Linked DNA regions of Oreochromis niloticus. The protein of the gene in region 1 purifies or fractionates together with the protein of each later gene. This does not show direct contact. Links are inferred from orthologs where the notes say so. Each region holds a gene or a part of one and is shown in the gene's direction. Other genes may lie near its edges.

Region 1 (7,228 bases):
TGACAAAACTTACTTGAACAACTTTGTTTAATGGACAAAAATGTCATTTTTCAGGAGAAAAAATGAATACCGTGATGTATTTATCTTATGTGTTTGACTCAGCAGCTGGTAGTCATCTCAGTGATGATGGACAGGAAAGTGCTTGTAGCAAAGCTGGGATTCAGGAGGAGCTGCTCCAGCACCTGCGCACCTTTTTGCCTTGTGTTTACTGAACACATGGCACCTTTCCACAGACGCAGCAATGTCCCACCTGGTAAATCATCATCATGAGCATAACTTAAAATAAAAGCTTAGCAATAATATTTTGTGTTTGCTTGTGTGTGTGTGTGTGTGTGTGTGTGTCCTACCAAGCAGACTGTCGATAGTCTTCATCCAGCTGAAGATATACAGTGTGTGGTTCTCCTCCGCAGTCAGACCAACAATGTTAGGTGCGCTGTCGCCCTCCTAAAATGATAAGACAGAATGGAGAGTGGATAAAAGCCTTCTCTCACTTTGTGTGTTTCAGAAAACAAGAAGTGATGTGTAAAATAAACAGATGGAAAAGGTTGAAGGTATGTACCTGTAAAATCCGACTTGGCAGAGGGGATAGGAAAAGCAGTGCTTTTTCCATGTTGGCCTGGAATCGAGCTGCTGCTACATATTCTGCTGAGTTCAGCCAGCTCTGAGCAAATGACACTTCTACAGAGGAATAGTGGCTCTGCCTATAGGAGAAGCAAGAGCACAGAAGCTGAGATTAAGAGAGCTGAAATTTGAGATAAATGTTTGGCTTTTTTGACCACTTGCAGGGAAAAACAGCAAGGCCTCGTCCTTGGTAGTTTTGGTGTGCAATGAACTACCAAAAACATTTCAGTGGACAAAAACAATTGTATTTATAAACATTTATAAATAATAAGGATATTAATCATTTTTGCTTTAATACTTTTTCCAGCTTCATTAGTATTGGCAATAAGGGCATTGATGTTAAAATTTGTGCAGGAAAGAGTACTGACACTGCTAAAACTAACAAGACTGCCAGAAAAAAAAGATGAAGTAGATTTAGTCAATGTCATTGTCATGTATGAATGCGTGTGTACACGATTTGTAATATGTTAAAACAGGATGGGTGACTGGGGAGGAGGGTATGTGTAAATGTTTTAGTAATGAAATGCATTAAAATTATAGATTTTATGATAGATAAAAATAGATACTTTATTGATCTAACAAGGGTTATTGTGTTACAGCAGTAGAATAAAAAATGAAAATGACATAGTCTACAATTAATAAGTAACATGGTTACAGTGAAAGTAAAAGAAATTACCTGGCATTACATGCTGCAGAGGCATAGGTTGAAGCCATTTGGGCGTCCCAATAGACACCGAGGATAGTGTCTTTCTTCACATCATCAGGCAGAAGAGATTCACTAGTAGTCTTCAGACCCTTAAAACAATATGAACAATTAAAGGAGTACACCTATTTCAGCAATGTAGCTTTGTTGTTTCATAAAGCTGGTGCATTCAGGGAACACAGACCTGTTTTGAACTATTTTACTTTATTTTACTACTTTTTAAAATGTAATTTTTTCTGCTAAGGACAAAATAATACAAGTTCAGTTCCCCTTTAAAATTGCGGGATAATTTTATGTGAATAGAAACCGTGTGTATATGTACCAGTGTATATCTGTGTTTCAATACCTGAAAAAAAGCATCCCACTTAGACATGGCATCAGGGTATTTAGCTTTACAGTCAGCATAAGTTGTACAATAGTCCTGTACTCCTGCAGGCACCTGCATCTGGACCTGGTAATGTAATAACATACATGATAATATGCACTATATAACATACATTATAAATAATACAAAATGGTCATATTCATTATTATTTAAATTGCAAATATTTGTGTGATGGCATAAAAAAAGTGTACTCTTCTTCGTCTTCTTCTTCTTCTTCTTATTATTATTATTATTGTTGTTGTTGTTGTTGTTGTTTTATTTTCTAAGTGTTCATTTTCAGTTTAAGACAGTACCTGAGCTCCTGCTCCCATGAAGCCCTGTTGTGCGGCAGACAGAAAGGGAAGTACAGATGCAAAATAGTTCACACCTGGAGAAACATAAAGAGGTCATTTGTATTCCCCCTGTGTTTGTTTTTTATGCATTTGTTCCTTGTACTTACAGGCCCACCAACTCTGGGTAGAAATGCACAAAGGCTCTGCTTCCAGGCCACAAGTTGTTGCACCTGTTGGATCAGCGAGACGCCCTGTAGAAACAACAGATCATTAGCTGTGGTCTTGTTTCTTTGTTAGTTGCATTATTAGGAGGCTCTTTATTCAGTTTTGTACTACAAAGTTTGTTAAATTGTGATGAAAGGATTATTATTGATTTTAAAAAAAATAATAAAATTATATTTTGACTTCACCTGAAGTTAACATCCATCCGAGCTGCAGTGGCAGTCCCCACAGCGGACTGTCAGTAGCATTTGTCCCCATGGATCCCATGAAGGGGTCTGTAGCAGCTATCATCAGCCGGTATAAACTCATGCGGTGAAGGTAGTTCCAGGGGTCTGGAAGCAGAATCCCATCATGCATTGGCAACTCAGTCACTTGGCTGGCCGTTTGTGCCCAAAGGATGGGAGCGCCATTTTCTAGAATTACTGCAGAGCTGCTGAGAGACACTGCACATGCCAGGACGAGGCCAAGGACCAGCAAACGCAGCATGACTGTGGTGTTGGGTCTGCAGAGAAGGACAGAGTCAAGAGCAGCTACTCTGGACTGAGAGTTTTCCTTTACATACAGCGTTTATATAACTTCTCTGAATCCCAAAGTCAGTGCATGCAAATCTGCACCCAATCACATTAGTCCATGTGACATATGGCTCACTGGACCCTGACTAACAGATAAGAGAATTTAAGTACATACAGCTGAGTATTGCCCAAACACTCAGAGAATACTGAGTTCAGTGCAAAGTACATCTGTTCATCCTTCGAGCTGATTTGTTTACATGAACCCAAATCCACAACTTTTATAGTGATACCATCAGTAAATTGAATCTGGAAACACAAACCCCCAAATAACTTCTAAGAATTCTTGGAAAAAGTATGCAGATTTTTACCCCCTTAAGTAGCCAAAGATAACACTTTTTATCTGGAAAAACTCATCAAATTTACTTTCACATACACTCACTGAAGACTTCATTAGTTACACCTTGCTCACACTAAGTTGGGCCCCCTTTTTTCATCAGAACTGCCTTAATTATTTGTGTCACAGACTCAACAAGGTGCTGACCATAGCTTTAGTTTTATGTTCTTGGTTGATAGGAGTGGCATCCAGTGTGCTGCTGGAGCCCATCTGCTTCAAGGTTCAGTGGTTATTTGAATTACTGTTGCCTTACTATAATCTTGAAACAGTCTTTTTTCTCTTTTTTGGACCTTTCTTTGTAAACACTAGAGATGGCTGAGTGGGGAAATTCCTAAAAGAGCCAGACCAGCCCATCTGGCACCAACAACCAACACGTTCAAAGCCACTATAACCTTTCATCCCCATTCTGATCCTTGGTTTGAACTTCATTAGTTCATCTTGGCCTTGGCTATCTGCCTGTACATTTAGATATGGACTACATGTCTATGCATGTAGTTGCTGCCATGAGATTGGCTGATTAGAGAATTACCTTAATAATCAGTCAAACCATTGCACTTAACAAAGTGCAGTACAGTCCAGTGAGTCTGTACTGGATACAGAAGTTAAGAGTGTTATTGATTTGGTTAATCTGAGTGAACTTTGATGTGCTAATGCTGTCTGGTAAACAGAACATGTCTCGTAGCTTTATGTAACATCATAATGTGTTTTGTAAATGACCGCACTTTGCATGGACAATACAGCAAGGACGAAATTATAACTACAATTTTAAAAAGTTGAGGTGGTGTTAGGAAGTGAACTGTTAGGTAATACTATTTTAATCCAGATTCTGCATTATTCTGAAAGCAAAGCCCATTTTATATGTAAAGAAGGGTAGCAAATTAAAAAGAAATGTCTTTCAGCAATATGGTGGCATGTAAGTCTAAAGTAGCATATTATTAAAAAAATGTCCAGTACAAGCTTAAAGGAAACAATTTAACAAATGCACATATCAGCAAAACATTAAAACCAGTTGTTGCTATAAGTCGCCTTTGTGCTGCCCTTTAACTGCACACAAATGCTGTGTTGTAACCTCAAGCTGAGTGTTTTGTCATCTTGCTGTGGATGTGACATGTAAGGGATTGATCCAACTGAGGGACACTCACAGTATTGTGGTGATTTCTCAGACAAGGTAGGCCTACCTAGTAGGATATTCTATGTTGTTGTTCTTTTTGACTTTTGACATTTTGACTCTTTTTGGGAACTATTAGATAATATCATTACCAATGCGACTATTGGTATCGAATTGATACTAGCATGATAGAATCAATACTGTTCTATTATCTGAGTTCAGTATGCAGCTCACTGCCAATTTTTTAAATAGCCTATAGCACATTTAAACCACAGAAGGTGACCCAAAGCGCTTTAGAGACAGACACATTTACGTTACATCCATCATTTGTACACAGTTCATTTCTGGGCTATTAATGCATGAACATGGGTCCTTTGGTCTTGTGGGTGTGTCCACTGTGGATCTGGTCTATTCTGGCTCATTCGTGGATGTTCAGATTGAGATCTGAGGAGTTTGATTTATGCAAATTAGCTGTTCTTAGCAGTTTTTTGGGGTGGCAAGATGCACTGTCCTGCAATAGGAGGATGCTGCCATTGGAGGGTGCTAGAGAATTGTTTGGTGGATAGACACCTGTAAAAGTAACATTCACAAGGTTTTCCATGAAAACTCTGCATTGCGAAGAGATAATGAATGTATTCATTTCATCTGTCAGTTGTTTTATTGTTGTGGTTAATCAGTTATGACCCATGTTAGCTGCAGAACCCCCCCCCCCACCAAAGAGTTAATTAGGTCTCTCCGGGTCCCTCAACACCACATTCACTGGTGAGAAGGCCCAGCAGTCCATCTATTTTCTGTGGAAGGTGAGAAAAGTCCATCCATCCATCCTAACGACAATACAGGGTTGACTATTAAGAGTATCCCAAGCAGCTGCATAACTATCTGACATGGGAACGGTACAGTATCAGATCACAAAATCCTTGCAGTGAATAGTGAAAAGTGAAAACAGCTGAAAGAATCACCAGTTTCTTTCCCCACCTTCAAGGTCATATCCCACAAACTCTGTATTCACAAAGCCACCATCATTGTGTATGATCCCACACACACCTGACGCAAACCTTTTACTCTCCTGCCACCTCACAAGAGGTACCAGAACATCTAGGCCCTCAGTTCCAGTCAGTGCAACGGTTTCTTCCATTAGGCCTCAGAAAGCTCAGTACTCAGGGTCTGGACTGGAAACTCATGCACATAGAAGTGAACACCCTATGAATCAACTAGACTAGTAACATACATACACACTGAAGCAAATGGACACACTTTACACAATCATACTTAAATTGTTGTGTACATTTCTGCACACATAGTGCAATTAAATTTTACTTAATGCCAAATCAAAAGTAGCTTTATATTTTAAGGTAAAGAACCTACAATAACAGAGAGAAAACTGCTACAATCAAATGACCCTCTATGAGCAAGCAATTGGTGACAGTGGGAATAAAAAACTCCCATTTAACAGGAAGAAACCTCTGGCAGAACCAGGCTCAACAAGGGGAGGCCATCTGCAGTGACTAGCTGGGCATGATGGGAGGGAGACAGGCCAAAAGACACACTGTGGAAACCAACCAGCCAACTTTACCATGTAGAAAAACGGCATAGGTGTGATGTTGAAATTGCACTAATTGTTTCTTATATTAAAGGGGAATAAATGTGCTATTAAACGTCTTTACGTTCAGAGAAAGGGGGTTTTGTAAAGTTGGCTGTATGTGGCCCACGATGTAAAAGGAATGTATTCAATTCAATTTGAATTCAATTTATGAGGCCGATTCTGGGCCCCGAGCCTCATGTTTGACACCCAAGACCTAAACAGAATTATAATCCCTTTTACTTTTATGGCTCTTACACTAACTAGAAGCATTGATGTTGTCCAGTGTAAACTAGCATTTTTAAAACTGATTTGGACCCCTCACCTGCCCAGGAACCAGCATCTCACCTGGTAGCCTACAGTCGAAAAGTAACCAAGAATGAAAGATCATGAAATACCTAACCTGTACTGCGTCGTTGCTCTATTTTTAAGAAAAGGACAGTTTTTGTTTCCATACTTTTCTGGGCTCCATTATGTTACCGTTTGACACTTTTTATTAACAGCTGCGATCTCGCTGTGAGTGCAGCAGACATCATGTGATGGAGGAGTGGCCAACGGAAAAAATCAGGAAGCACATCGACGCAAGAAACAAGTCACGAGAAAGGTAAAGTTCAAACTTTTACGCAACTCAAGTAAACTTTTAGTCATTCTTGACAATTTCACTGACGTTTTAGACGACCAACGCATTTTTACGAGGCTGTTTCGTATTTTTAAGTTTGTTTGTTTTTTTGCAACGAAAAGCGACAAACATCTTCATACTGACTTCTCTTGTAACTTCATGACTCTTAAACCCGCTAATGTTAAAATGAAGAGCAGTGTACAGGTAACATTAGAACAGCGTTAACCCCAACAAACACAAGTAGGTCATAACTAAGTATTTGCACTTCATCCGTTCATGTTGATGGCATAAAAAAAAATACTCTGCTGATTTCCGCATTTTTTCCTTGTTGGCAAGGAGACAGAATCAGCCTCAGAACATGCACGTTAGTTTCATTAACCCTAATCACACTTTAATTTTTCATTAAAGCAAACGAGAAATATCCCGTCACTGTGACAGTTTCTTAGCAGGTGGTTATTTGCATACTAGGTTTCAGTCTTTTTTGAGTCAGGAAGTCTTATGAGGAGCTTGTTCTAAATATTCCTGACCCAACCCTCCTTCACTTCAGGTTGTACAGTATGATATGAGCAAATATCCCATAAGGAAATGCATTACGCACCGACACACCTTTATCAGACTGTGGGCCTGCGCTTTTGGCCTTGATAGATGGGTTTTTTTTTAAGGTTAAAATGTGAAAATCTTTGAATTCTGCAGCATATTTATTATATTTTATTTCACAGCATCGATATCAAATCAATTTTAGCTGTAATGATCATTTGTGTGACTCCCTCAATAAGGTAAGTGTATTAGTTTCACAGTGTTTTGAGTGGATAA
Region 2 (7,989 bases), on another chromosome or scaffold:
TTTTTGTTTTCTTCCTCCAAAGTGCTGATGATTGTATTCATATATTAGACTGCACCTGGGTCTTTATTTTACCCAGTCTATCTTCCTCTGACATCAAAGCTGTGGGACGGTGAGCAGTGAGCTCTGCCAGTCAAAGCATGAAATTATTCAGATGAAATCACCCTCTCCAATCTTCAGCTGTTTCTCCCTCAGTGATGTGACAGCTAATCTGAACTGCTGACAACAAGGAGAGTGAATAACTTGATAGCCTTTCCTCTTCTGTTTCCATCAGATTTCAAGAAGGGTGGCCTGCAAGTGCTAATAACCAAGCAGTGTCTTCGAAGTTGACCTATTACGCTTTTTGTAATTATAAATGCTGTAGCAGTGGTTGGTGGTCAGATCAGGCTTCAACCTGCTTTTTCTACTCATGGCTCTATATGAGTAGAGAGGGGAAATCATTCAAATGATCATTTAAGGTACTCAGATCTGGCTATGACAATAGGAGCTTCGAAGACCTGCTGTTAAAACCTTTTGTTTGGGAGGGGCAGCCAATCGGGAGAAAGCTGGCTTCAAGCAGGATGGTCTTTCAGAGAGAAGAGCTCGTTTCAGGCAGTGGATGAAATAAGTGGCTCCACAGTAGCTTAGTATAAGATAAATTATTTTGAACTTTAAATTATTCACACTACCATACTCCCAGAATAAAAACACTGAGCTAGAAATGAGCATAAAAGGAGATCTCATGTACTGACTGCACTTGCACTTTACTGTATCTCCATGGTCTAAACTGCATTACATTTTAGAAGGAAAATACTCCACTAGATTTCTGATTTTGCAAAACACAGATAGAAGAAAGACCTCCTCTATACACAAAGCTGTGTCCAGATAGATTTCAAGTATTTCTAAGTGCATTTTTGTGCACTTGCCTTCTTTTTTTAAAGGTGGAAATGAATGAGAATGCAAACTGAAGCTGAAATATTACACTCAAGCTTTAAACGAGACCAACACTTGGAGTGGGTAAATGTTCAGATAGGTGGCTCAAGAAGGAGTTAAATTACATTAAAATAGATTAAAGAAATAATACATGAAACAAACAAAATTCACTTGAAATTTGCTCTTTTTAATTGCACCATCTGTTTATGATGTCTTCTTCTACACTGGTTTTATGGCATCTGACCAACTGTCTACAGCTGTTTATCTCAGTAGGGGGTTATCTCAAGTCCCTAATATTTCACAACAGTGTGTCTTAATATTTTACTTCTATTTTTAGACTGTCTTTAAATTCTATAACATTATAAGCTGGAATTGAGTGGAAACTTTGAGCGTTTGTTTATGACTTGTTTTAATTTTCACCAACATTGATGATGATTTTCCCTTTACACAAGGTGTCATTTAAGTAAGTGTTAACTGTTAAACTGTTTAAAAGAAAGCAAAAAGTAAATCAATGAGAATTAGTTTTCTAAGTAAAAAGAATTGTTGTAGAATTCATCAATTTATTACCCTACATTTATTTTGTACCCCTTCCTAGACCTTTTGGCCTATAAATCAAGAATCCACACACTAACAAATGTCTAAAAGCATAAACATTTGAGTTTGAAAGGTCAAAGGTCAAGTCTGTACAAACATGGATGTAATGCTTACTGGTTGGAGGAGGAAGATTGTGACCATTCCACTGTCTCTGCAGCTGGACTGATCTAACAAGAAAGTTTAATGTTTAACAAGTGAAGATGAAATGTTTGCTTTCCTCCTTAAGCTCGTTAGGTTTTCCCCATATCCGGACATAAACAGCCAGACATACAATAGGAACTTTTCCTTTTGGGGTTTGTAAGGGCTAGTGCTAGCTTGAAACATTCATCAGCTTTGTTTTAAAAGCGTTATTTGAAACTACTGACTTGTCGCTTTTGGCAGCGAGATGTAAAAAGAATATCAGAAATGTTGTTTTGGGGGAAAACTGAGGCACATGAATAATAGATGAGCCTTGGCTTTCCATGTTTGGCCCTCCTGTGCAAAGCGGGCTAATGGCTATCGATGTCTCTAGTTTCCTTCAAATTGCTTCACATGAGAGCTCAATTCAAATGGAGAAAGAGTAGATTGCAGTGAAAAGGAGACGAGGGAATGAAATTATCTCTGAATATTGAGATGCACGCTTGGTCAGCCAATTCGTTGTCCTGACAAGTATCAGGTATCAGCGGAATTAGCCTAATGTTAAATTAAGCCCGATCAAGCAAGGCCTTGAAACATTCCCACGTCTCGGTCCTTGTGCGAGGAAAGATGGATGTACGATCCAACTGGAGCGGCGCCAGAAATGAACAGATGTGCTCCTTGAAATCACGAGAAACAAGAAATCAGGGCTATGTCACTGACACACATGCTCAGACACGCTCTTTTATATCCCCATGTATTCTCTTCCAGATCTAATTAATCACTTGATTATTTTATCTATTTTCACTGGCTGCCATACACATGGGACAAAAGTTGGCGAGAATAAACTTGGCCTATATGATGTTAGTTTTGGCAACAATCAAAAAGCAACCGAGGAAATACAGATGGCGATCTCCATTTTTCTCCCCCCTCTTTCCCTTTCCCCCTTCATCTCCTCTTCTGATGCTTCCTTGCGCTCTCAAACACATTATTAGGGTATAGGCTAATCTATTCTTCTCTCTCCCTTGTATTTTTGTCTCCTCATACTCAACTAACTAGCATGATTTAGGAATTATGGAATTAGGGCAGCACTCCCATCTCTATTAATGAGGAACAGGATGATGAAAGAGCTTGTTCCTCAATGTGCCATCTGCAGTCACTATTACACATTCACCTAATATATTTCTCTTTCTATTCTTTGCCCTTACCTTCCTCTCTCTCTCTCTCTCTCTCTCTCACACACACACACACACACACACATTATACCTTACTTGTAATTACAGAAGAAATAATTTCAGCTCTTCAGGCACTGTTGGATGTGGCGTGAAATGGTGAAATGGCACAGCAAGAAAGTTAACTATGGACCCCCACACCCTTACATAGACACATGCACAAACACATTTGCAGGAGTCCAGATGGGCCGTGTGTTATTGCTGAATAATGCATGCTATGTAGACTCTATAAAAGATACATGGGCAGAGAGAGCTAAGAATCATTCAGGCACCATGGCCAGTTTGGTGAGGGCAGCGTTGGAGCATCCCTTGTGCAAATTTGGAGCTATTACAGGCTTTTCAGCTTGTACATATTTAGCTATAGGTGACCCAACAGGGAAAATATTTAGCTCCAGTTAGAGAGAAAAATAAAACTTGCCTTTTAGACACTGTCAGCTGATATTGTGGCTGGCACTCTGCCCGGTGTCTTTGCAGTCACCTTGAAAAGGCTTTTGTGGTTTAAACCATAAAACTTGGGGAATTACACAGCAGATTCTTTGCTTGAGGCTCGGATTTCAGAGCATCGCTTAGAAACACTATGAAAAATATCCAACAGTGTGTCTTCATGTAAAATACCCAGAAGAGGGGGGGGCGACGGGGGTGAGGGGGGTAGGTCCAGGTGAAGGGTAAATGCTGCACTCATGTGGGGAAAATGAGCAGCGCTTTTTTTTCTTCTTTTTCCTCTGTGGAGTCATATGACAGGACATGCGCATCATTAAGTGTTGCGTTCAATGCTAACGGAACGCTCACTTCTCTATGAGTCGCAGTTTGATGCACAGTAAGGCCACAAAGAAAATTGATTAGCAAGAAAGAAACACTAATCTTAAGTGGAAGCCAAGTAACTTCACACAAGTTGTATTGTCTCATGATTTTGTTAAATCAGTATACAGCAGCTAAAAGATAAACACAGACGAAAAACACAAGTAGTTTCACAGTTATATTTAAGTCAACTTTTCGTGTAAAGTTGACTACCTGAGAACCAGACTACTTTTTCAGTTTTAGATTGTTAAACCTATAGGAAGAGAAGTAATGCATGCCGTGCCTCAAATCGTTCTGGGTGACCGTGGGATGCAAGGTCCTTTATGTGAAGTTGAAGTGCGCCTCAAAATCGTTGAAAGTTTTGAGTTTTCATATTTCCGACAGCATATGAAAGCACCATCTTCGGACAGACAGCGGAACCAGTGAAGGAATTCGGGAGTTGCCAGTGCCAAGTTCACATACCGTCAAGAAGGAGGAGTTTTCAGGTCATCTTTTCAAAAAAAAACAAGGAGGGTTAACTGTAAGTATTTACTCCCTTAATAAATATCTACCTATACTTTCCTCTCAACACAGTTGTTTGAGTGTTAGCGTTAGGTAGTTGACAAGAAAGCGGAACTAGCTAACTAGCAGGCTAGCCAGCACATTAGCCAGTTTACGAAGTTACCCTCTCGGATTTTACCCTCTTTGCGATAGCTGAGCACCACTGCAAGTTTTCAGACAATGTAAGACAAGTTTAATTCGCTTTGATAAACTGTTTGACACTTGTCTTTCCCTCTTTTGTAACTTTTTCATTAAGTTTAAGAAGTGTTGTTTTGGAAACCTCTCGGCCCCAGCGATGGTGTACTGGGTGTGGGACACTGCCTGAAACTACGGGGGTTTCTTGTAATACTTTTGGTTTGTTTCTCATTCAGGCTAACGTCACCTGTTTATCAAGTGACCCACGTTACGTGGCCACTTGGCAGTTAACCACAGTCAGGTGTGTGGATACGTGTTACAGCAGGAATCATTAACCACATGTCGTATTTTCCTCAGTGTCTTCTGTCTTGATAGTCAGGAAAACCTGCTTTTGTCGTATATAAATAGTGGAATCAAATGTCACAGTTTAGGCTTTGCTTGTCTGGTATGATGTCATAGGTCCCCTTGTTTGTTATTAGTCAACCCTCCTACCCAAAACATGACACACCTTCCTCCTCGGCAAAATAAATAGGTTGTCTTTATTCAAGACAGCCTGTAAGAACAAATCGTTGAACAATAGCTTCTGTCTGATTGTTTAAAGAAAATAAAACATCAAGAGTGAAATGAGGATATGTGTTCAACGTGATTGGAATAAGACGCCACCTGTGCTCCAGTCAAATCTGGAGGAACAGGTTTGGGTAGAAGAACAAGAAACGCATTTCCCTGTGTGGTGTTTGCCACTCGTGCTTGGTCAAGTGAAGAAACTGCAACATGAATAGGTATGTTCTTTAGCCTCGGTTGTATTATTTCCTTTGTTCCTCTGAACTAACATCTTTCTGGTTATATTAACTGTGGAACGAATTTAAGGGTTGGGTACGTAGTTTGGGGTGCAAACAAGCGAAATGTAATATCTAAGTCATATATTTGGTAAATCTAGTCACATATGTGGCTAAACACGGAGAAAAATTGCTATCAGTTTAAAAAAACTCTGCTTTTACTATCACATTTCGTTCTTTATCGCTGACATGTTCATCTGCCCTCGTCGTGGCTATCTAAAGAGTGTACGTGTGTAAATGAGTCCACCTTCATAGTTATAGTTGTAAAGTCACATCAGTGTCTTGCCAAGTCCAATAATCGGTCAGAAAAGGCAGTGAAGCCTGAGTGAATAAAGTGCACTCTTGTCCAAAAAAGGGGAAAAAGCAGAGTCAACAACATTAAATCCTCTGCACTGTCTGCCAAGTAGACTATCCATGTTTTTTTTTTTTCTTTCTTTTTTTTTCTTTCCCCCTCAGGATGTTTAGTGGCTGCAGGTTTGAAAGGGAAGTTGTAGTTCAGGGGTTATTTGCAAAACAGGAAAATGCCACTTGGACGTTAACAAGGAAAAGCAGATGACAGGGAAAATGCGGGGGGGAGCAGTGTTTGCATCTAAAAACTCTAGCCTTGGAGTAAATGATTCAGCTTTGTTTTTATAGTTTACTGCTTCTGCCCTTGACAGTACAGTGATAGGAAAACAAGCTTAATTCTTTGCTTATGATGAGCTTTATCTAATGTTGCCTTGTTCACCAAAGCTTGTCTGAGGCCATTACGCCAGTCATTTTTAGCCTATCCCATGATACAAGACTGCATGAAGGTCACCTGACAAAGTAATTTTGTTTAGATTGGATTTGTATCTGCTAAACTCCTGCACGAGGTAACATCAGTCATTATGTGATCCGAATTATAACTGCAACAATTAACACACTTTGTTCCTCTAAATGAATTGCATTGAAATGCACAATACAATTTGGCAGACAGCAGCAAAGGCTTGTTCCTCATGTATCCTGTTTTTAGATCTCTAACAAACATAAGCATTTTCTTCTGATCTGTTTTCATCTGTCTTATTTTGACTGAACTATTCATGCTCTGCATTGTTTGAAAACTACAGAGGGCACAAAAAACAGACAGTTTTCACACTTTCTGGGTTTTAGTTGCTAGACACGGTCAGCTCTTCCTGCTGCTGTTCACAGCTTCTTGATGATGCTGCCTCATGCCTAGCCTGCTGTTTTTACAAATTGTGCATGATCATGAAATCTGAATGTTGATCTGAACAGAGCATGCACTGAGCTGGCAAACATGGACTTGTGCGTCCTGATGTGATCAGCTCTGGGAGTTAATCACATCCAAGATTATAGTAGTAAAACCGCTATGTGTGTCACTTTGTTCTCAGGCATTAGCAGTTTTTGGTGACTGGGTAACTGACAATGAAGCTTCTTGAGAATTCAGTGTTTAACACAGAGGAAAGAAAGTTGTTTGATTCACATTACAAGGCACCTTTTTTATGGATATATGACAGGACATGGATTTTATGGATGTTATACTCTTCTGCTAATTAAGTTGATTTAGTGTTTCAGTACATATGCTGACCATAAAGATACTAGTGAGTGCACAGCCTGTTATCTTATAATCACATTTTGTCATTAGTTTCGTGTTAAACCAACCATAGAGCGCATCTGCTGTTATATAATTATTCTAATGTAGCATAACAGTTATGTTTTAGGTATTTATGCACTTCATTTTCACAGTTCTGTGTTGAAAGTAGCTTTGAGACTGACTGCATTTTGAAAATTCCGAAGAAAATCACAAGCTCATCACTTAGTTGTAGTCAAATAAGTTAACAAATGTAAATACCATCTTAAACATCTGAATATTCCTAAAGGACTTTATTTCATCTGTTTTTATACACTTTTACTGGTTATTTAATTGATCTGCAACCTTGAAATGTCTAACAATAACCAGTGATTTCAATTCGCATTTATGTATAGTAGGCAGGCATGATAAGTGTTTTTCCAGCCAGTTGTCACTATCCAGTCTCACGCCTCTGATTTCCATATCACAAGCTCCATATCCAAGTTCCCTCATTGTTGGCATACATGATTCTACTAGCCATCCCACTGCTAAGCTTTACATGCTTTATCAGTAAGCCTGCTCTGTCCAGACTCACAACACTCCTTCAGGGGAAGGAAAAGAGCCTGATTTGTTTGGATTTTGCATCTTTTCTTTCCCTCTCCATATGAGTGATACAAACAAGGTGAACATTGATTGCACATTTAAATGCTTAACCTTTTAAATGCATCCTCTATTTTTAGTAATGTAAAATGCTGAGCCTCCTTTTTTTTTTCTTTTTTTTTTTGTGGTCTTTCCAAACCTTAACGCAGGGATTCATTTATCCTTAATTATTTTTAAAGCATTAATTGTTCTACATTTATGGTTCACTGCTCTAAAAAATTTTCTCAAATCAGATTTGATAACTTCGTAGCGGCTTGTCAATGTGAGGAAACTTTCCACCACAACTTATCACAGTTTTTCTGGTAGATTTATCTACAAACAAGACAGGAAACAAAGTAGACCTAACATTTAATGAGTTGTAATCTCTATAAGCACACATCTGTAAGCACAATATATGCAGTATCTGCAAGCAACATCATTTTGATACCTGAAAATGTCAGGTTTCCACTTCTCCTATTCAACAGGCTTTGGTTAAAAGGTCGGGGGGAAAAAAAGTCGGAAACCATTGGTTTGTTTTGATAATGACTGGTGAACGAGAAGTGTGGCCTTGATATCCTTTATCTGCTATTGTAGATATCGTGGCTGCATCAGAAGCCTTGATATACCAGCTGTTGTCAGCTGT

Evidence for each region. Proteins that work in one complex are often made in the same cells at the same time.
Region 2: the proteins of syntaxin-7 (region 1) and snap23.1 purify together in Homo sapiens (affinity purification with mass spectrometry; 3 studies listed by BioGRID and IntAct, counting the BioPlex papers as one, with this or other methods). This does not show direct contact. The link is inferred for Oreochromis niloticus from reciprocal best matches to the Homo sapiens genes STX7 and SNAP23.

What each region holds. Positions count from the first base shown.
Region 1 is NC_031980.2:5,910,491-5,917,718, forward strand, and holds the start of syntaxin-7, read left to right. Parts: upstream 1-4,163; 5' UTR 4,164-4,277; intron 4,278-6,299; 5' UTR 6,300-6,400; intron 6,401-7,228. Other genes in the region: leg1.1 (liver-enriched gene 1, tandem duplicate 1), read right to left, coding at 99-250, 348-444, 560-701, 1,298-1,416, 1,671-1,775, 2,003-2,076, 2,149-2,232, 2,392-2,689. UniProt on the Homo sapiens protein: May be involved in protein trafficking from the plasma membrane to the early endosome (EE) as well as in homotypic fusion of endocytic organelles. Mediates the endocytic trafficking from early endosomes to late endosomes and lysosomes.
Region 2 is NC_031983.2:19,368,519-19,376,507, reverse strand, and holds the start of snap23.1 (synaptosome associated protein 23.1), read left to right. Parts: upstream 1-4,898; 5' UTR 4,899-5,093; coding exon 5,094-5,101; intron 5,102-7,989. UniProt on the Homo sapiens protein: Essential component of the high affinity receptor for the general membrane fusion machinery and an important regulator of transport vesicle docking and fusion.